3 linked regions of the Stegostoma tigrinum genome follow. The protein of the gene in region 2 purifies or fractionates together with the protein of the main gene of each other region. This does not show direct contact. Links are inferred from orthologs where the notes say so. Each region holds a gene or a part of one and is shown on either strand. Other genes may lie near its edges. The genes, in order: integrin beta-1-like, CD151 antigen and itga3b.

Region 1 (7,532 bases), on a different chromosome or scaffold from region 2:
TCAGATGGGGATATTTGAAGAATTTACTTCTATTAATTATTTAACTGTCAACAACCATTCACATTTGGATGTGGCAGAACTGCAGAGATTAGATTTGATCCACTCATTGTGGAGTTGCTAGCATTTACCCAATGACAGATGTTAGACCAAGGGGCCTACAGTTCCTGCTTTCTGTCTTGTTCCTTTGTTGAATGTGGCAACATACTAGCAAGCCACTGAAACCCTTCGCCAATCCACTGAGTTCTGGAATATTTCAACCATGTGTCCACTTAAAACCTCTGACACAAGTCACAAATCATCGGGTCCTAGGAACACGTCCGCCTTCAGTCCTTTGAGTTTGCCAAATACCTCAAAATTTTGTGAAAGAAACTTAACAAGATCTTTCTCTCCATTAGTACCTTGCTTATCTATTGCCTTTGGGATTTTTACTGTGTCCTCCTTTGTGAACAGCAATGTAAAATATTAGTTTAAACTATGTGTCATTTCCCCATTCTGTTATCAATTCCACAGATGCATCCTTTAGGAGTCCCACGCCTACCTTTAAAACTGGATTGGTTGTTCCTTTCTGTTGGTTCCCGCACGACCTGCAGCAAATCCATTCTAGCAGCTCTCTCCTTTTGAACTCAACCAGTTCATTCAGTAGTGGCACTACTAAAAAACTGTTGGTGATGGATATTGAAGTTTCTGGCCCAGAGTATGTCCTTTTCATTGGTGTTCAACATGAAGTGCAGAGCAATCAGCTGAGGGGTCAATAGATGGCAATCAGCAGGTGATTTCCTCGTTTCTGTTGGACCTGATGCAATGAGACTTTGTTGGGTTCATGGCCGATGTTGACTCCCAAGAAAAAACTAGCCCCATTGTATACCATCATCTGTGAGGGGCCTGTCCTGCCAGTGGGACAGGACATATCCAGTGGTCGTGCACTGGTATCCGAGACCTTGGATACCAGGTCCAAGATATCCTGGTATCAGACTCAATTCCACGAGTATGACCAAGAGTATTGCTCAACTAGTCCATGGGTTAACTCTCAATTTTGGCACAAACCTGCACGTTAGTAAGAAAGGCTTTGCATGGTTGACAGGGCTGTTCTTGCCATGGTCTTTTCTGGTATTTAGGTGGATGCCGGCTGATCCACGCATTTTTATTTCTCTTATATTGACTTGTGATGCAAAGACTGTTTCACTTATGGCACGTGGCCCTAACTGACTACTCATATACAAGTTGAGATGGTGAGCTGTAGTAAGTTCATCAATAAAAAGGGAAACACAACACCTAAACAAAATTAAAAATACTGCAGATGCTGGAAATTTGGAACAAATACAAAGAATGCAGGAGAAACTCAGCAGATCTGGCAATATTGGCTGAGAAACAAAGTTAATGGTGAGTCCAGTACGACTCCTCTTCAGAATGGAGTATTGACTCCATGATACTAAAGGAAAAAAATAGTTAGTCATTCACTCATTGATCTCCTGTTGGGATTAGTCAGGAGTTGAGAGTCAGGCTTGAGCATTACATCGAAAATACACAGAGCTGGAGAAACTAAGTTGTACCACACCTGCTGAGTTTCTCCAGAATTCTATTTGTCACAAAATCAGTACTACTGTTCTTACCATCATTTCAGCCAAGATCAATTAATTGAAGAGATGATGCAGTAATTCTAGTACTTTTTTCATAGCTTCAATCTAGCAACCATCATTCGTCAATGTACAGTACAGTACATAAGGTAGCTAAAAGCAATAGCATCTGTAGAATCAGGCAATGTTTTACAAAACTTGTGATATATTTTATTGGGTTAAATTCTAAGAAACCTAAACTAAGTTTATGGATGGAAAGTCAATAGTAAAACTGAATCCTTAAGTTTTCTGATCCACTTTGGAAAGTAGATTCACACTTCTCTAAACACAAATAAATCTTTAAAACTGGAATAAAATTAGTCTTCCTCATTAATACAGAAACAAAACTTTGCTAAATCTTATTTCCTTATTTGTACATATGCGAATATGAAATATAAATAGGTCGCAGTCCATCAATTGCACAGCACAAAGCCTAAAAACGCCTATTGTTTTATCATTTTTAAGCATCTCCACACATTAGGTTCTTTAAGATAGTGAAACACAATGTCCCTAAAACTGTCCAAAGTTCGACTTTTTTTCAACTACTTAATGCGGAGATGATTAATAAAAGGCAGTCAAACGGCAGTCATTTTGCTATGACTTTCAGACAAAAGACGAGGCAAAACAATATACACGCCCTAAGGGCACTTACAAAAAAAGATAGGTATGCAGCATTGTTCAGAACAAACTCTGGTTGTTTAGGTGCCACTAAGAACATTCAATGTTTATGTATCTGAAAGTACAGATCGAGATTACAAATCAAAGCTAAAATAAAACCACCTCTACATGGCACTGAGCTTTTTTTTGCGCGTGTGGGGAGGAGACAGTGTGTGAAGGCTCAATCTGGCCGACAAGAAATGCCCAAATTCTGAATACCAAAAATGTCCACGAAACAGTTGCCTCCCGAGTTCCAGTAGTAAACTGGACTCGACAGCACTCGGAGATTTATCACCCCGGCCCTCCGTGTCTGAGCATGTGTGTGAAAAAGAGATATATATTTAAAATAGCTGCCTGTATCCCCACCCAAAAATAGGACATGTATTACATTCCTGCCCTTTTTGCGGCTGGAGATAGGAAAAGAAAAAAAAGAGAATCTTCTGAGGATACCTCTACCTCCCTCGCCCAAACTCAGGGGCTGGGGGCACACACAAGACGGTGAAGAGCAGCCAGACTCCCACCGGCTTTTCTATTTAAGCTTATCTCCGGGCCGTCCCGCTTACCTTTAACACAAAAGTCTCTCAGACTAAGGATATTTACAGCCGTTAAGATTTATTCTGGCCCCGGCGGCAGTTGTGCTTTGCAGACGTTCCCTCCTTTTAACGCTTCAAATAGCACTTGATCTTCGGGTTTTCTTTTTCTTTAAGCCTCCACCTCAAGCCCAGGCTCCGTTTCTTTTCTCCGGGACGTCGCTCCGTCCAGCGGTGGCGGCGGCTCCCTTGTCTCTCTTCACTCTTTTTTTCCCCCTCTCTCCCTCCCTCCCCCCCGCGACACTGGCTCCTCCTCCGAGCTCAGCCGAACAGGACCGCCGAATGATTCCTAAGGTCAGATGCGCGGTGCCGAATCCTTCCAAGCTCAGGCGAGCGGTGTTGCCGAATGGCTCCGAATTCAGCCGAGGGACGCTGCCGCCCCGCCCCGGAAACCCATTCCAGACTGTAGACGTCATTGCGTGGGCGTGGCGGTGAATGAAGGGTGATGTCATTGCGCGGTGGTGTTCTGCAGTGGAAGGGTGACCCAAGACCGCTTCACTGATCTGCACTTTGGATGGCATCTGGGACTGGCAAAGCTACAACTTTTTCCCCCTCAACTATTCAGCTCAGGTCCATCAGAGAACACCCCGTTCAACACTACAAGGAAGAAAATAAAATCTCTGAAAGACTACAAAAATAACGTTTTGCTTGTTTCATTTAACTTGGAGACTTTTAAAATTCACCCACAGGGCGCGGGCAGAGCTGGCAAGGCCAACCTTAGTTTTCTGTTTCTTGAGAAGGTGAACTACCTTCTTAAAATCTCGAAGGCCGTGTGGTGAGTGTGTTTCTATAAATGCTGTTTTTGATAGGAAGTTCAAGGATTTTGACCGAGAGATCATGCAGAAATCAGTGCATATCAGCAAGCTATCTGATATGAAGGGGAACTTGAACGTGACAGTGTCCCCAACTGCTGCCCATGTTCTAAATGGTGGAGATTATTGATTTAGGAAACGTTGATAAGAGCTTTTACAGCAGGGAAGGAGACCCTTACAACAAAACATGGTGTTTCCAGAACTTACTTAAGTAGTTCCTATCTGTCTAGTTCCTGCCTCTACCACAAATTAAGTGTGACTTGTACAAGTTGTGAGAGTGAGCAAATACATGACAGCTGAAGTATAATGTGAATACATAAGGTTATCCATTTTGGGAACAAAAACAAAAAAGTTGAATTATAACTTGAATAATGGTAGTTTGGAAAATGGGGTGGTGCAACAAGGCCTGGATGTCTTTGCACATCAGTCAATGAAAAGTGACCATTGGAGGTCCAGCAGTCAGCAATGGTGGCAAATGGTATGTTGGCCTCCACAGCAAGAGGATTGGAGTATAGGAGCAGGGGATGTCTTGCTGCATCGTGTAGGGTTGCGATGAAACCAGATCTGGTGTATTGTGGTCAGTTTTGATTTCCTTATCTGAAGAAGTATTTTCTGGCTATTATGGAGGGAGTGCAATAAAGGTTTACCAGATAGATTGCTGGGATGGCAGGGCTGACAAATAAAAACTGGATCACCTAGGGCTATATTCACTGGCATTTATAAGAATTAAGGGGAGCGGGTGTCTCACAGGAGCCTATGAATTCCTACATGACTGGACAGAATATATGCATGAAGGATGTTTCCGATGCCTGGGTAGTTGCAAACTATAGATTGCTATTCAAGGGTATGGGATAGGTCATTTAGAGTTGAGCAGAAATATTTTCATCCAGAGTTCTCTGCCCCAGAAAGTGGTTGAATGTTTAAGGAGTTAAGTTATAGTTCTTAGTACTAAAGGGATCAAAGGGTATGGGGAGAATGCAGGAACCACGTACTGAGTTGGATAATCAGCCATGATCATGTTGAATGGTGGAGCAGTGTCGAAGGGCCAAAATGACCTACTTCAGCTATTTTCAATGTTTTTACATTTCAGGCAGTGAGTTTCAAATGCCCACATTCTTTCAAAGAAAATATTTTCCTTCAAATCCCCTTTAAACCTCCTGCTCCTTACCTTAAACCTGTACTGCCCAGTTATTGACCCCTACGTTAAGGAGAAATGCTTTTCCGTATCTACCCTGTCTCTGCCCCTCAGAACGTTGTGCACCTCAGAGTCCTCCTAATAGCCTTTTCTGCTCTAGAGAAAATGCTGTCAGTCTATATAGTCTCTCTTTACAGATAATCACTTCAGCCCAGACTAGTGAACCTCTTTTACACTCTCTATAGTGCAATCACATCCTTCCTATATTTTGACAGCCATAACTGCCCACAGTACTCCAGCTGTGGTCTAACTAACATATGTAGCTCCATTGTAACCTCCTTGCTTGAGTATGCAACGCCTTGATGAATGAAAGCATGTATCTCATATCCCTTTGTAAACATCCTATTCACCCGCCTTCGAAAATCTATGGACATGCACAGCAAGGTCCCTCTGATCCTCTATACTTCCTAGGATCCTACCGTTCAACATGTATTCCCTTGCCTTTCCCCCCCCCCCCCGCCTCCCACTTTGCAGGATTAAATTCCATTTGTTACTGTTCAGCCCTAAAATTGTTGAAGAAGTGTAACCATGAATATTAGGGATGGGAAAAAGGCTAACTGGCAGTCAAGAATCATTCAATAAGCCAATAAATTGTTTGCTCTGCCTTCCCACATCAATTAAAAAGTGAACATCATGTGGATGAGAATAGTAGACAACTGAAGCCACAAATATGGATTAGGTCAATTGGAAGCATGAGATCATGTTGTAATGTGTCAAACCAGTGTTGACAACTCTGTTTATATCATTAGTGCTCACTAATTGAAATAAACCTGAGCTACGGAAGGATGGAAGCCTTTCAATTCTCTTTTGTACTTGTCATATATATTTGGCAGTTAACCTGTCAGAAATCTTCAGTCTGTAAAATGATGGACATAGAGCAAAGGAAATCCTTTGGATTTGGGAATAGCTTCGTACAATACTCAGATTTCTTTCTTAAAGCAGCAAATGAGTGTCAGGTTTGTCCTCACATACTGCACGACAAAAAAGTGTTGTCACATATCCTTGTGGGTTGTTATTTTTAATGTTAGCACCTCTTGCCAAGGTGTTTACACTATTCTCTGCCATCAGATAGTATCTGCCAGAATCAGTGTTTAGCCAGAATTATGTAACACTGGCAAGTACCTTTGAAGTGGAACATTGGGTGTCTCATCAGTCTCCAGTTCTCTCAGAACACAAAAATGTGGCTATCTTCCTTCTTGTGAATTGCCCAAGCCAATGAAAATGCCTCAGCTTGATAAATACAAGCATACTAGTGCATCCAGAAGTAAAGCGTGCTTTTCATGAGAATTGTAGATGGAAGCTTCTTATATGCCAGCCACAAGTAACATATAAAAAGGAACAGATGGCACTAACAGGTAAAATGACAAAGTAAAAACAATAACAGTAAAAAAATTGAAGATCATCTGTGTCGAGCAAAGCTTAACTGATAGGAGCCATTTGGCTCCGGAACATTAAAATGCAGATTAATTCCCCCCCCCCCCCCGCCACAAACTGGTAATATGATTTGAGTAAGCCAGGCTATACTACTGGACAATGCCAATAACAGGTGATCAGCTAGTTTTATTAATGGATTCTGTAGAACTAAACTTGCAACACTGGAATTCCCTTCACTCACAGTTAGATTACCAAAAGCACGTTGATTAGAACACTCCTTGCATTCAATATGTAACTCATGCACTGTTCTCAGGAATCTCAAAAGGTGAAACACTCCAATACCTCTTACTTTCTCAAAGATTTTCTTTATGGAGACAACACTGCTTATTAAGAGTTTGTTTAATATGTGAAATAGCCAGTATTTGAGTGAAAAATACCACAAATAAACTCGGTCCTTCCTTAGTGTTTTTTCCACTGGCATGTCTAAGCACAATTGCATCATCAATTTATATTTGAAACAATAATCCAAATTCCTCAATTATCCAACCAACTGCCTTCAGAGTGCGGTATTCTCCAGGATCTTAAGTGTCATGAACAGTTAAAATCAGACTTTAAATGAAAAGTAAAGTGCTCAGAATCATAATGATTTATTGCTTTTTGCAAGTTTCCACAGGTAACTTCCTTTAACATTTACATCATTCACTCCACTCCCTACATCTCTATTAAGCTGATCTTAGGTGGCAGTAGTTTGAATGCTAAAATATTCCTCATGCTTCATACTTGATTCCACCAGGTTAGGAAGGGGGCAGTGATCCAGCAAGACCACTCTTGATTGCTTACATTGTGATCACAATTGGAAGTGCCACAAGTAAAGGCAATAGTTTGGAATGAAGTGAAAGAACTTCAATAGGATGAGATTGGAGCTGGCCCATGAAAATAGGCTTTGATAAACATATTGTCTTTGCTAATATTCACTTAAGAATCAAAGGAAAAGAGAACTTTAATGTACTCAATGTGTTTTACATCCTAACAATGTTGCAGAAATGAAGGCCCATTGGTTTATAATCTTTGTCAACTTGTGGGGGAATACTACAGTCAAAATTGAGCATGGCAATGTCTCAGGAATTGAATTTTAAAAAATGACAATATAATCTAGTTAAGTCACGTTGCCCGAGGGATAAATCCTGACCGGGACACTGGGGAGAACACCTGTTAATCATCAAGTACTACCATCAGTTTTTATATTCATATGGGAAGGTAGATGCTGTTTCATTTTCACAGTTAATCCTAT
Region 2 (7,700 bases):
TGTAACATTTTTCCAATAACAGATGCTAAGCAAATTAGGCTTTGTTAGATGTTTTCTGTCTCCCTTCCCTTTTGAACAAACATGTTACATGAGCAGTTTTCCAATCCTCTGGGACTTTTCCAGAATTTAAAGAATCCTGAACCAATGCATCCACTATATCTGAAGCTACTTATTTTAATATCTTCAGATGTAACCCATCAGTCCAAGGGACTTATCAGTCTTTAGCACCATAAGTTTCCCTAACAATTTTTTCTCTGCTGAGTTACTGCAATTAGTTCATTTCCTCCTTTTGCCTATTGATTATTCTGTATTTTTGGAATACTATTTATGTCCTCCTCCACTGTAAAGTCTGATGAAAAATATTTTTTAAATTCCTCTGCTATTTCCTGGTACCCCATTATTATTGCCCTAGCCTCATTCTCCCCATGTTCTCTTTAGCCTTTCCTTTTAAATATGTTTAAAGAAACTTTTATTATCCATTTTGATATTTATACTCAAAATATGTTCTCTCCTTTTTTTAATATTTTGGTCATCTTTTGATGACTTTTAAACATTTCACAATTCTCTGTCTAATCTTTGCAACATCTATGTTTTTATTTTTTTTCTTTAAATTTGATACTAAATCTCACTTAATTAAATTACATTTTCATCTCAGACCTTTCAAAGGTTCACCTGAAACAGCAGGTAGATTGGGGAGAGACTCACATTGCCTCCTCTTTGCAGAACACCTCCGCTCAGTTCGCAACAAACAACTGCACCTCCCAGTCGCAAACCATTTCCACTCCCCCTCCCATTCTGTAGATGACATGTCCATCATGGGCCTCCTGCAGTGCCACAATGATGCCACCCGAAGGTTGCAGGAGCAGCAACTCACATTCCGCCTGGGAACCCTGCAGCCTAATGGTATCAATGTGGATTTCACCAGTTTCAAAATCTCCCCTTCCCCTACTGCATCCCTAAACCAGCCCAGTTCGTCCCCTCCCCCCACTGCACCACACAACCAGCCCAGCTCTTCCCCCCCACCCACTGCATCCCAAAACCAGTCCAACCTGTCTCTGCCTCCCTAACCGGTTCTTCCTCTCACCCATCCCTTCCTCCCACCCCAAGCCGCACCCCCATCTACCTACTAACCTCATCCCACCTCCTTGACCTGTCCGTCTTCCCTGGACTGACCTATCCCCTCCCTACCTCCCCACCTATACTCTCTCCACCTATCTTCTTTACTCTCCATCTTCGGTCCGCCTCCCCCTCTCTCCCTATTTATTCCAGTTCCCTCTCCCCATCCCCCTCTCTGATGAAGGGTCTAGGCCGAAACGTCAGCTTTTGTGCTCCTGAGATGCTGCTTGGCCTGTTGTGTTCATCCAGCCTCACATTTTATTATCCCTGTAAGTGCTCTCACTTTTTATACTCTGGCTTTCTCAAAGAACAAAGAACAGTACAGTACAGCAGCAGGCCCTTTGGCCCATCAAGACTGCACTGTTACATGATGTGTTTCCAAATTAAAAACCTTTTGCCTCTATGGTGTCTATATCCCTCTATTCCCTGCCTATTCATATATCTGTCAAGATACCACTTAAACATTACTATTGTATCCACCTCCAACAACTCCTCCAGCAGCACATTCCAAGGAGCTACCACTCTCTGTGTAAAATTAAACTTGCCTCTTACATCCCCTTTAAAGTTACCCCTCTTTACCTTAAATCTCGGTTCCCTAGTGATTGACATTTCTACCCTGGGAGAAAGACTCCAACTATCCATGCCCTTGGTAAGTTGGTAAACGTCTTTCAGCCCACTAATCCTTTGATGTTCAAGTGATAACTAACCAAGTTTCTCCAATCTCCCGTCATCTATACCCCTCAATCCTGGTAAACCCTGTTTCTGTACCCTCTCCAAATCCTCCACTTCTGGTGGTTCAGTGGTTAACACTGATGTCTCACAGCATCAGGGTCCTGGGTTTGATTCCACCCTCGGGCGACTGTCAGTGTGGAGTTTGAACATTCTCCTTGCATTTGCGTTGGTTTCCTCTGGGTGCTCCAGTTTCCTCCCACAATGTGCAGGTTAGGTGGATTGGCCATGCTAAATTGCCTGTAGTGTTCAGGGATGTGCAGATTAGGTGCATTATGGGGGAATGGGTCTGAGTGGGATGCTCTGAGGGTCAGTGTGGACTTGTTGGGTTGAAGAGCCTGTTTCCACACTGTAGGGATTCTGTGAAAATTCTATCTATCCTTCTGCAGCAACCAGAACTGTACACAATATTCCAAATGTGGCTGAACTAAAGCTCTGTACAGCTACAACATGACTTGCCAATTTTTATACTCTATGCCCTGACTGATGAAGGCAAGCATGCCAGATGCCTTATTGACCACTTTATCCACTTGTGTTTCCTCTTTCACGGTCCTGTGAACCTGTACACCTAATCCCTCTGTACATTGATCCTACTAAGCGTTCTGTCATTTACTGTATAACAATATATAGTTACATCCTGCTCGCTTTTGCCCCTCACTCACTCCCACCCCTCCCTCCTTTTCTTCTCCTGCTCTCCTCTTCTTCCCATCTTCCCTATCTTTTCTCCCTCTGGCTCCCTTCCAGTCTCTCCTCCTCCCTCACCGCCCAGACTTCCCCTGCTACACACTTTTATCTTTCCTTTCTCCTCTCCTCTTCCTCCTGTCTCCATTCTCTCTCTCCCTTTTCCTTCCCTCTTCTCCCCAGCCCTCTTCTCTCTTTCTTTCCTCATCCCTTCCTCTTTTCACTGGAAAATGTATTCTGTTTGTGAAACATCATTTCCCTAGCCCACCCACTGGTCTCCTCAGAGTGAAGGACAATAATGGTCCTCTCACAAATTGGGTTTTGATCTGTACTGGGCTTGTAACAAAGCTGCCTGCATCTCCCTCCCACAGCCTGTGCGTTCCAGCTAGACTCAATCATACAACAACACAGCTCACACTGAAACATGGTTTTGTTGTCCCCATGGGCAGGGAAAGTTCTTTCTCTCTTTTTGCTCCTTCTCAAAATGCAACCCCTGGTAGCAGCAATTCATCTATCATTTCTATCACATTTCAAACTGCAGTCCTTGCCCCCCACCCCTGCCTCCTGTGATACCTCCCTTAACCACTTAGCTAATATTTCCCCACCCATTGATTTTAGACACTGGAGAACAATAGTCAGAAATTCCCGGGTGGTGAGTAAGAATCTGGAATAATTCCCGAAAGTCTAACAGTTTAAATCCTTCAGGCTACAGCCTGTGGAATTGAGAATGGAAACAGAGTCAGTCATGCTAGGGGCTATTTTCCCTGTAGTGTTGGAGGCTGAGCAGGGACCTTATAGAGTTTTATAAAATCATGAGGAGCATGGACAAGGTGAATAGCCAAGGTCTTTTCCCCCAGGGTAGGGGAGTCCAAAACAAAAGGACATGGATTTAAGGTGAGAGGGAAAAGATTTAAAAGGGGCCTGAGTGGTAGCTTTTTCATGAGGAGGGTGGTGCATGTATGGAATGAACTGCCAGAGGACGTGGTGGAGGCTGGTACAATGACAACATTGAAAAGGCATCTGGATGGGTATATGAATAGGAAGGGTTTAGAGGGTGATAACAAGCTTTAGAGCTGGATGAACACAGCAGGCCAAGCAGCAACAGAGGAGCAGGAAAGCATAGTTGACGGTACTCTCTGGATGGTATGAAGTTAAATACAGTGACTGTCCAAAGAGACTTGGGGATTCAGGTGCATGGATCTTAAAATGTCATGAACAGACAATAATCAAGAAAGCAAATGGAACACTGGCCTTTATATCGAGATGACTGGGACCAGCATAATGATTTGTGGGCCAAAGGGCCTGTTTGTACGCTGTATAGCTCTGTGACTGGAGTACAAGGCTGTAGTTTTACAAAAACCTGGATAGACCCCCTCCCTTGGGGTATTGTGAGCAAACACGGGCACCACATCTTAGGAGGGAGAGATAGTCCTTGGAGGGGGTACAATGTCATCGAGGGCCGAAGGGCCTGTACTGTGCTGTAGTGTTCTATCTTCTAATGTAGGTTCACAAGAAACACACCTGGGCTTCAGGGGTTAAGTTATGAGGAGAAGTTATGCAAATTGGGCATGTTTTCTCTGCTATTTAGAAGGATAAAAGGGTGATATGATTGAAGTCTTCAAGATATTAACTGAAAAGGACAGGGGAGATAAAGGCAAACTCTTTCCATTGGCTGGTGATTCGAGAACTGGGGACATAGTCTGAGAATTAGGGCCAGACCTTTCAGGAGAGATGTCAGGAAGCACTTCTACGCTAAACGGGTGGGAGAGATTTGGAACTCTTCTTCCAGATCAGATTTTATTGGCTGATGATTTTAAATTTATTGGTAGATAAAATCTAAAATTTTACATCTGTGATAGATGAAGTTTCGTTAACCAAAGGGATATGGGCCGAAGTCAGGTATATAGAGTGAGGCCATGTATCGGCTATGATCTCATTGAATGGCAGAACAGGCCTCCTCCTGTTCCTATGTTACTATATTGTCACACAGCTGCTGGGAAGAGGTTGCCGTGTACAGACTGGCTCTTGTGCTTCTTACAACAGTGATGACATTTCCAAAACCCACCCATGGCTCTCAAGTATTTTGCTATGTCCAACACACTTGTAAGAAGTGCAAACGCTGTCTCCTTTCCAACTGGACTATACACTTCTGCCAGATCCGGGGAGGGTCATTGAGTCATACAGCATAGGAGAGGCCCTTCAGCCCTTCATGTCTGCATCAACCTATCTTTGCTATTCCCACTTTCCGGCACTAGGTCCACAGCCTTGAACAGTATGACATTTCAAATGCTCATCCGAGGACTTTTTAAAGGTAGGCAAACGGGAAGCTGGGAGAACACAGCAGGCCAGCCAGCGTCTGGAGGAAAAGTGCTGCCAAGGTTTTGGGTATTACCCTTCTTCAGGACTGGATATGGGGGGGGAGGGGGAGCTGCAGATAAATGGGGGGGCTTTAACAGATTGGTGGTGATAGGTGGACACTGGTGGCAGGTATGACCTGGTTGGTTGATGGGAGGGTTGAATGCAGTTGATGGCTGGAAGAGAGGGTCAGTAGGCGGAATGGAAGGGTCTGGAAAGGGAGGTGGGGGGGTGGCTGGGAATGTTATTTGAATTTGGAGAACTCAATGTTGAGTCCTACAGGCTGTAGGGTGCCCAGGCAGAAGATAAGGTGTTGTTCTTCAAATTTGTGTTCTTGTTCGCTGCGACACTGGAAAAGGCTGAGGATGGACATGTTGGAGGGGGGTGGTGGGTGGGGGGGTGCAGTGGTGGGGTTTGAAATGGGAGATGACTAGGAGGTTAGGTTGGCTGTTACGGGCCGGGCGAAGATGTTCGGCGAAACAGTTATGTAGTCTACGTTTGGTCACACTGACGTAAAGAAGACCACATTGGCATCATCAGAAGTAATAGACTAGGTTGGAGAAGATGCAGGTGAAGTTCTGTCTCACTTGAAGGACTGTTCACAGCCCTGAATATAGGTGAGGGAGGTGGTGTGTGGGCAGATATTGTATCTTTTATGGTTAGAGGGAAAGATACTGGGTGGGTCGGAGTGGTTGGTAGGGAGTGTGGCATGAGCTAAGGAGTGGCAAAGGGAATGGTCCTTGCAGAAGGCAGAGACGGGTGGGGAGTGGGAGATGTTCCTGGCGGTGGGGTCTAATTGGAATTGGCGCAAGTGTTTGAGGATGATACGTTAGATGCAGATGCTGGTGGATTGGAAAGTGAGGACAAGGAGGGTGCTATCTTTATTATGTTTTGTTGGTGGGTGGTTAAGAGCTGTGGAGCAGAGAATGGAAAGGGCACGGTGGAGGGCCGTCTGAATGACAGAAGTGGGAAAAGAGCATTGTTTGGAAAAGGCAGACATTCAGGATGCTTGGGAGTGGAACATTTTCTTATCAGACCAGATGTAATGGAGGCGGAGGAATTGGGAAAATGGAATTGGGTTTTTGCAGGATACAAGGTGGGAGGAGGTGTAGTCTAGGTAGCTATGGGAATATGTGGATTTACAGTAAGTGTCAGTCCGTAAACTGTCACCAGAAATGGAAATGGACAGGTCACAAAAACGGAGGGGGGTGTCTGAGATAGACCAAGTGAATTTGAGGTCGGTGTGGAAGTTGTTAGTGAAGTTTATAACCTGTTCCAGTTCAGCCTGGGTGCAGGACGCAGCACTAACGTAGTCATCGAGGTAATGGCGGAAGAGTTCGGGAACAATATTAGTATATGTTCTAATGAGCGTCTGTTTGACATAACCTACAAACAGGCAGGCATAGCTGGGTTTTTAAAGGTTGTGAGGTTTCTGCGTCAACTACCCTCCTGGGCAGTACATTCCAGATCCCTTCCACCTTCTGGGTGAAAATATTTTTATTTACAATCCTGTCTAAACCTCCTGCTTTTCACTTTAAACTTATGCCCCCTTTATTGACCCTTCAACTAAGGGGAACAGCTGCTTTCTGTACACCCTGTCCTTGCTCCACATAAACTTATACACTCCAATCAGGTTCCCTCTTAACCTTCTCTGCTCTAAAGAAAACAGCTTGAACTTATCCAACCTCTCTTATCATTGTCTCCCCACCTTCTCATTTATATTGTTTATATATTAATTAAAATCAAGCTGGCTGATAGCAGGGTGTGGGACATTGTAAAGTCAGATTCCATGAGTCTATGTCCGCTGACTGGCCTGTGGGACAGCTCTGCTAATTCAGCTACAGGGTCCCCCCCTCTCAGGGTCAGTTTGGAGGCCTCTGAGGGCTGTATTCTTTGCTCAGTCCAGAGGCTGGCAGCTATTTCTGTGGCACTCCTATGCAACCACTTGGCTCTCTAGGCCTGTTCAGATGGCAACCATAAGGAGGGCTGGCTTCTTACTTTAAAGTACAATAATAAACCTGAAGCTGTGTGTGTTTTTCACTGTGATCTCTCTCTGTGTATTTACTAGGTGTCCCGGGGTTGGCTTACTGTGTTTCTGTAGGTGCTAGATGAATGCAGTTACATTAGGATTGTAGTGTGGTGTCTCTATTTCACTCTGCGTGTATCCACTTAGGCACTAGGGAATGTGGTTATGTTAGTACTGCCCTGTGGTCTCCCTCTCTGTGTCTATGCACTAGGTGTGCTGGGATTGGCCTGACAGTGCTGTGTTTCACTCGGTGCTAGATGAATGCAGTTACATTAGTACAGTACATGGTGTCTCTCTTTCTCTCTGTCTCCATATCCACTAGATGTCATATGAATGCAGTTACAGTAGCATTGCCCTGTGCTCTCCCTCTGTGTGTGAATGCTCTGGGTGTCCTGGGGGCTAGCCTGACATTGCTGGGTTTCTCTCGGTGCTATATGAATGCAGCTACATGAGTATTGTACTGTGGTGCTCTCTGTTTCCACTAGGTGGTAGGGGAACGCAGTGACACTGGCACAACCCCGTGTGTGGGTGGCCCTGGGGCCAGGCTGGGTTGCTCCGGGATGAGGCAGGGCTCAGTTTGAGACGGGGCGGGTTTATCGATGCTTTGTCATTTTCGGCGAGTGCAGTTGAAGCGAAGTGAGTCGGAGGGCAGCCCCCGGAGCTGGGCACAGCCGCTGGGACAGTGAGAGGGTGTGTGTGTGTGTGTGAGAGAGAAACAGAAACAGCGAGCAGAGGCTACAGCAACCGGTAAGGGACGGGCGCACAACAACTGCGGAACACGGAGGGCGGACCT
Region 3 (7,519 bases), on a different chromosome or scaffold from region 2:
CCTTTCTGCCTACGAACTATATCTAACACCTTTTTGAATACATTTAATGTTTTTGCTTTAACTAGTTTCTGTGGCAGTGAATTACACAGGTTCACCTGGATATGCTCCCCTATTGAAGTTGCCCATCTAGTCTTGTTAGAATGTTTTAGGTTTCTGTGAGATCCTCTGTCACTCTTCTAAACTCCAGAGAATATAGTCCTAATCGATCCATTTCTCTACGATTCCATGCTTATTCTCAGCAACTGGTGTTTTGTTGTAGCCCCCTCTTTCCCAATCTATCACCATCCAGACCATAGCCTGCCTTTCTGTTTTTGCTATCAAAGTGGATAACATCATGTTTGTCGACATTATATTTAATCTGCCATCAATAGATCTGCCATCTATTTGCCTACTCATTCAACTTGTCTAAATCACACTGAAGCATTTCTACATCCTCCTCACAGCTCACCCACCCAGTTTTGTGTCACTTGCAAACTTGGAGATGTTGCATTTAGTTTGCTCATCCAGTGATTGATTTTTTTTATTCTGAATAGGTAGGGTCCAAGCACAGGTCTCTATGGTGCCCCGCCAGCCATTGGCTGCCATAAGAAGAAGATCCATTTATTCCTACTGTTTGTTTCCTGACGGTTCTTTATCCATGTCAGTACATTTCTCTCATTTCCATGCACTTCAGTTTTGTATGCTGATCTCTTATTTGGGACCCTATTGAAAGCTTTTGAAAAGTCCAAGTAAACCACAACCATTTCAGGATGGAAAATAAATGTTCATGTTATTGGTGCTTTTCATGACCCCAAGATATTTCAATGTGCTTTCCTGCCAATAAAGCACTTTTGAAAGAATCACAGGAGACAATTCCAACAGCTATTTTTTGAGATGAACATAAATTACACGAAATCTTCATGGAAGATTGAGGAAAAGATCATCTTCATTGCCACCTCTTGCTGTACCCATACTTCAATGCAGTTTCCATCTGAAACTTAATTTGCAATTAAAATTGTGAAAATAGTTTGCACTTCCAGTTTGGAATTTGGCTGCTGATAATATGTTCACAATTATATGATTGCACCAGTTTTAAACCTACCCTTAAGATGAGGTTGTATTTAACATTATAGTTCAATTAAAAAAATCTGCAAGTGCTGAAGATCTGAAACAAAACAAAAATTGCTGCAGAAACTCAGCACGTTTGGTAGCATCTGCAGAGATAGGAACAGAATAATTGTTTGGAGTCCAGTGACATTTCTTCCGCATGTATTATATTTACCATTGACTTGCCTTTATTGGTCAGTGCATTAAGTAGAGGAGTTGGGAGATCATGTTGCGGGCGTACTGGGCATTGGTTATGCTACTTTTGGAATATTGTGTTCAGTTACGGTCTCCCTGCTGTAGAAAGGATGTTGTGAATCTTGAAAGGGTTCAAAAAAGATTTAAAAGGATGTTGCCAGGGTTGAAGGCCTTGAGCTATAGGGAGATGCTGAATAGGCTGGGGCTAATTTCCCTGGAGCGTCGAAGGCTAAGGGGTGATTTTATAGAAGTTTATAAAATCATGAGGGGTATGGATAGAGTGATTAGCCAAGATCTAGATCTAGATCCAAGAGCAGAGCCTAACGGGGAAGACAGTAGACCAACAATGGCAGGAGTTTCTGGGTGTAATTGAGGACGCAGTACAGAGGTTCATCCCAAAGAAAAGAAAGATTATCCGGGGTGGGATTAGACAGCCATGGCTGACAAAGGAAGTCAGGAAATATATCAAAGAAAAAGAGACAGCCTATAAAGTGGCCAAGTGCACTGGGAAATCAGAATATTGGGAAGGCCTCAAAAACAGACAGAGGGTAACAAAGAGAGCAATAAGGAAGGAGAAGATCAAATATGAAGGTAGGTTAGCTAGTAATATTAGAAATGATAGTAAAAGCTTCTTTCAATACATAAGAAACAAACGAGAGGCAAAAGTAGATATTGGGCCGCTCCAAATTGATGCTGGAAGGGTAGTGATGGGAGATAAGGAAATAGCTGAAGAACTTAATAAGTACTTTGCGTCAGTCTTCACAGTGGAAGACATGAGTAGTATGCCAACAATTAGGGAGAGCCAGGGGGCAGAGTTGAGTATGGTAGGCATTACAAAAGAGAAAGTGCTAGAAAAGCTAAAGGGTTTAAAAATTGATAAATCTCCTGGCCCCAATGGGCTACATCCTAGAGTTCTGAGGGAGGTGGCTGAGGAAATAGCGGAGGCTTTGGTCGTGATCTTTCAAAAGTCACTGGAGTCAGGGAAAGTCCCAGATGATTGGAAAATTGCTGTTGTAACTCCCTTGTTTAGGAAAAAATCAAGGCAAAAGAAGGAAAATTATAGGCCGATTAGCTGAACCTCAGATTAAAACAAGTCAGCATGGTTTTAGTAAGGGAAGGTCGTGCCTGACAAACCTGTTAGAATTCTTTGAAGAGGTAACAAGTATGTTAGACCAGGGAAACCCAGTAGATGTTATGTATCCAGACTTCCAAAAGGCCTTTGATACAGTGCCTCACGGGAGGCTGCTGAGCAAGGTGAGGGCCCATGGTGTTCGAGGTGAGCTACTGGCTTGGATTGAGGATTGGCTGTCTGACAGAAGGCAGAGATTTGGGATAAAAGGCTCTTTTACGGAATGGCAACCGGTGACGAGTGGTGTCCCGCAGGGTTCAGTGTTAGGGCCACAGCTGTTCACCTTATGTATTAATGATCTGGATGAAGGGACTGGGTGCATTCAGGCGAAGTTTGCTGATGATACGAAGATAGGTGAACAGGCAGGTAGTACTGAGGAGGTGGGGAAGCTGCAGAAAGATTTGGACAGTTTAGGAGAGTGGTCCAGGAAATAGCTGATGAAATTCAATGTGAGTAAATGTGAGGTTTTGCACTTTGGAAAAAAGAGTACAGGAATAGACTATTTTCCAAACGGTGAGAAAATTCGCAAATCAGAAGTGCAAAGGGATCTGGGAGTGTTGGTCCAGGATTCTCTAAAGGTTAACTTGCAGGTAGAGTCCGTAATTAAGAAAGCGAATGTAATGTTATCATTTATCTCAAGCGGGTTGGAATATAAAAGCAGCGATGTGCTTCTGAAGCTTTATAAGGCTCTAGTTAGGCCCCATTTAGAATACTGTGTCCAATTTTGGGCCCACACCTCAGGAAGGACATACTAGCCCTGGAGCATGTCCAGTGGAGATTCACACGGATGATGCCTGGAACGGTAGGTTTAATGTATGGTGAACGGCTAAGGATCCTGGGATTGTACTCATTAGAGTTTAGAAGGTTGAGGGGAGATCTAATAGAAACTTACAAGATAATGCATGGTTTAGAAGGGGTGGACGCTAGGAAGTTGTTTCCATTAGGTGGGCAGACTAGGACCCATGGGCACAGCCTTAAAATTAGAGGGGGTAAATATAAAACTGAAATGAGGCGACATTTCTTCCGCCAGAGAGTGGTGGGCTTGTGGAATTCATTGCCGCAGAGTGCAGTGGAGGCCGGGATGTAGGATGCCTTCAAGGCAGAGATCGACAAATTCTTGATCTCAGAGAGAGTCAAGGACTACGGGGAGAGTGCAGGGAAGTGGTGTTGAAATGCCCATCAGCCATGATTTAAATGGCGGAGTAGACTTGATGGGTCGAATGGCCTTACTTCCACTCCCATGTCTTATAGTCTTATGGTCTTATCTTTTCCCAATGGTGGAGGAGTGCAGGCCAGAGGTCATAGGGTTAAGGTGAGAGGAGAAAGGTTTGAAAGTGACCAAACGGGCAACTTTTCACACAGAAGGTAGTGTGTGTATAGAATGAGCTGCTGGAAGAAGTGGTGGAGGCTGGTACAATTAAAACATTTAAAAGGCATCTGGATGGGTATACGAATAGGAAAAGTTTCATGGGATATGGGTCAAATGCTGGCAAATGGGTCTAGATTAATTTAGGATATCTGGTCAGCGTGGACAAACCGGACTGGAGTGTCTGTTTCAATGGTGTAGAGCCGTATGATTCTATAATGGGAATTCTCAGCAGGTCTGGCAGAATCTGGGGAGAGAACGCAGAATTAACATTGCTTGTGTTCTGAAGAAGGGCCATTGGGCCTGAAATACAAAATCTACTTTCCAACGACAGAAGCTGCCAGACCTGTTGAGTTTTCCCAACAATTTCTATTTGTGTTTCTAATTTCCAGCATCCACAATTTTTTAATATACATATTTATCATTAGTTCATTTAACCTCGTTTGTGGTTCCTCTGCTCATGGCATCAAATTGCCAATTAACTAGTGGGACCCACAACCTGAATTTGAAATCATAATAGTCCAAGTAACTCGAGAATGGAGGCAATCATTTGATATAATTAATCCTTTCCTGGGTTTTCCCCAGGGTGAATTAAAACAAAACTGTACATCAATAGTGAGGTTTTGGAATGACATTGCCGTTTTAAGGTCTGCAAAGTGCTGAGTCGATCTGATTGAGTCGGGAAGGAAAGCCTCATCTATGCGCAGGTTTGAAGGGCAGGCGTGTACAGTGCTAGAGGGTGTGGAGAGAGACTGGGTACTTGCAGTATCACCGTGTAACTCAGACCGCCTTTGAAATCGACATGGCGCCTTATACAGCTCCTCAGTTTCAGCCCGGGCTATACCTTCTCCTATCAACCGCGGTGGCGGTCTCTTCTGCTTTTAACATCGATGTGAAGTTCCCGATCATTAAACAGGGACCACCCGGCAGCTACTTCGGATATTCGGTGGCGTTACACCGACAACTGAAAGATCAGGATCGCTACCTGTAAGTGCATTATGGATCAGGAATGAGAGAGAGAGGGAGGGAGCGGTGTGTGTGTGTGTGTGTGTGTGTGCGCGCTGGTGGCTGGCGAGGGACGGTGGGTTGCTTAGGAATTGTACCGGTGGTAGTAGTTTGTAAGTACAGGTGAAATGCTGTAAAATGGGATCGACTTTTAAAACCCGAGAACTGTTGATTGAACTTTTTAAAAAAAGAAAAAAAAGGAATGTTACTGGCTTAGTTTTAACGTTCGTTATGAAGTAGTTTTACAAATTCACATCCTTATTTGCAGCAGTTTCTATTGGAGTATTTTTAAAATCCTCTCAGTATACTACACTTCTAATACATATATACTTATATGAATGTGAGTTCCCTTCTAAACGAATAGCCTATCTTCCTGAGCCATAAACTTGATTTTTCAGCGGCTTTAACTCAGCGGGTGCTGGTCTGTTGCAAATTCTGTGCAAAGTTTAGGGAATGGAAACTTTTCAGACCGGTTGAGGCGCGGCGACGCTGGCAGATAGCTCAGAGAGCGTGAGACAGTGTACTGATTGTCATAGTCTCTTCCTGAAGCGTTATCTCCAAGTATCCCCACACCTTGTGTGTGAGTCCGGGACAACCCAGATCGCCGGCAGAAACACAATATCAATCGCTTTGCGTTTTGTTTTCTCGATTTGCCTTGCATTTCGGTGAGGAGACACCGTAAGGACTTTCTCAAATGGAGTGTGCAGTGGGAGTAGGTTGCTGACCGCTTTACGTCATGAACTGAGGATAGTGTGGAGTTGTTTCTGAATGGGGTGGGATATGGGTTTAATATACATCGCTTCCAGCAATTCTTCGGTGCGAGTGTTCCCAGTTTGAGACTTTCCCCCTGTGTCTCTGTGTGCTATGTTTGTGGAGGTGCGTTTAGACGCTCGAAGTAGTTCACTCATCTGAAACAGAAATAGAAATTGCTGGAGAAATTCAGTAGGTCTGTGCAGAGAGGGAGAGGGAGAGAAACAGTTCAATTTCCGAGTCCAGTGATAGGTCTTCGTTAGATCACAAATCTGTCCTGTCCCCGGATCGATCTGCGTGTTCTTTTGTATTCAGGTTTTCGCGGTGGAGATGGTTGGCGATGTGGTTTTAGGAGCAAGTGACCGGTGTGCTCGGGACACCTGTAATCGCAAAGTGAATGTGTTTTGTGGCTGTGCAAACTCCGGAATCACAGGGGCTCCCAAGCCCATCATCCTGTGCCTTGGGGAGTGGGAAACTTGGCTTGTTTGTCTAAGCTGAGTGCTGCTTTAATAGAAGGATAAAGGACTTATCAGCAAGACATTCCTTTCGCGGATTTGTGGGCTGGGGGAAGGGTAGCACTGCATATTTCCTTTTGCAGACACAAATTGTTGAACGTGAGACCCAGGCTTTCCCCCTCAGAGTTCACTGATCTACCTGGGGCTCCCGTGGAGACTTTAGAATTTTGTTTTCGTCTTGCATGCGTTTGTTGTAGTAGATTTCGAGAAACGTAAACTTGGGATTGGAATGGCATGTTGCTTTACAGACTGTTGCCTCACCCCTCTGCTTAATCACCCTAACGATCTGAAAAAAAAACGCATTGATCCAATTTGCTCAGTGAATCATTCACTCAGATCTGACCAGCCACACTTTCGCCAACTGCATTTATGCAGGGCTGACATTCAAGTAAAGAGTTGGGAAGTGTTTTGCCCGACCATTTTTCCGCATGGTTTGAACACAGAACTGACTTTCTCTCCTCAACTTTCGTTCCCCTTTCTTTTCTGGATGTTCTCCGCTAAACCGTGTTACCCAGTGCCACCTAATGTTTCACTGAAATGGTTGTACGCACACAGAAACTTGGATAATATCGAGCTAAGTTGATCTCCAATCCGCCTTTCATCTCATCGTTACACTGGTACATAAAGAATTTGAAACCTCCTTGTATTGCCCCCGCCTTAAAAGGGAGACCTTGAAGCAACTCCAGCTGAGAATAGGTAAACTTTGTACTGTGGTCAGGAATTCACCCTGGGGCCCTCTGCCTGTCTGCCTCAGACACCGAGGGGAACCTTGCTATTCCAATGAGAAAGGGAATGAGGGACTATGGGAAAAGGCAGAAAAGTGGAATTGAAGATTATCAGACCTGCCATGATCTCAGTGGCACAGCAGACTTGATGGGCTGAATGTTCTTTTTCAGCCCTTTGCACATTTTAGTTTTGAAAATTGTGCTACTTTTTAAAATGAGAAGTTGCCAATGCAGAATGATGAAACTGCTGTTTGGTTGCTCAGAAAATTTTGCAGATCTACAAATAAACTGTTTTAAAACAAAGAACAGCGAATACTGGAGATCTGAAACAAACAGGAACCGAAATTGCTGGAGGAACCCAACAGGTTTGGAAAGAAAACAGAGTTACCATCTTAAGCTTTGTGCCTTTTCTAATAAATTGCTTTTCCAGATGATGATTTTTCTGTCTGACCATCTGATTACTGACAGAATTCAGATATGTATCTTTTACCAAGTAGATACACATGATTAAAAATGACTGTAGCCTTTTCTCCAATTTTTACTTGTCCTACAGGCAGTGATTCACAGTGGATTCTGATTACTTGCTGATGGCTACCTGTCACTACTTCATCATTCCACAGACCATTCTTTGCACATAATTTCATCAGGGAGTGGCAACAGGTTATTCGATTATGGAAAATGTCACAGTCAAGTATGTCACTGACTTCAACTGACTTCCTTGCAGGCATACTTTCCAACAAGAGAATGC

The links.
Region 1: the proteins of CD151 antigen (region 2) and integrin beta-1-like purify together in Homo sapiens (affinity purification with western blotting; 4 studies listed by BioGRID and IntAct, with this or other methods). This does not show direct contact. The link is inferred for Stegostoma tigrinum from reciprocal best matches to the Homo sapiens genes CD151 and ITGB1.
Region 3: the proteins of CD151 antigen (region 2) and itga3b purify together in Homo sapiens (co-immunoprecipitation; 4 studies listed by BioGRID and IntAct, with this or other methods). This does not show direct contact. The link is inferred for Stegostoma tigrinum from reciprocal best matches to the Homo sapiens genes CD151 and ITGA3.

Annotation. Positions count from the first base shown.
Region 1 is NC_081355.1:128,708,162-128,715,693, forward strand, and holds the start of integrin beta-1-like, read right to left. Parts: upstream 3,088-7,532; 5' UTR 2,834-3,087; intron 1-2,833.
Region 2 is NC_081370.1:8,979,139-8,986,838, forward strand, and holds the start of CD151 antigen, read left to right. Parts: upstream 1-4,644; 5' UTR 4,645-4,837; intron 4,838-7,413; exon of another isoform or gene 7,414-7,654; intron 7,655-7,700. UniProt on the Homo sapiens protein: Structural component of specialized membrane microdomains known as tetraspanin-enriched microdomains (TERMs), which act as platforms for receptor clustering and signaling.
Region 3 is NC_081384.1:21,968,863-21,976,381, reverse strand, and holds the start of itga3b (integrin alpha-3b), read left to right. Parts: upstream 1-4,492; 5' UTR 4,493-4,578; coding exon 4,579-4,763; intron 4,764-7,519.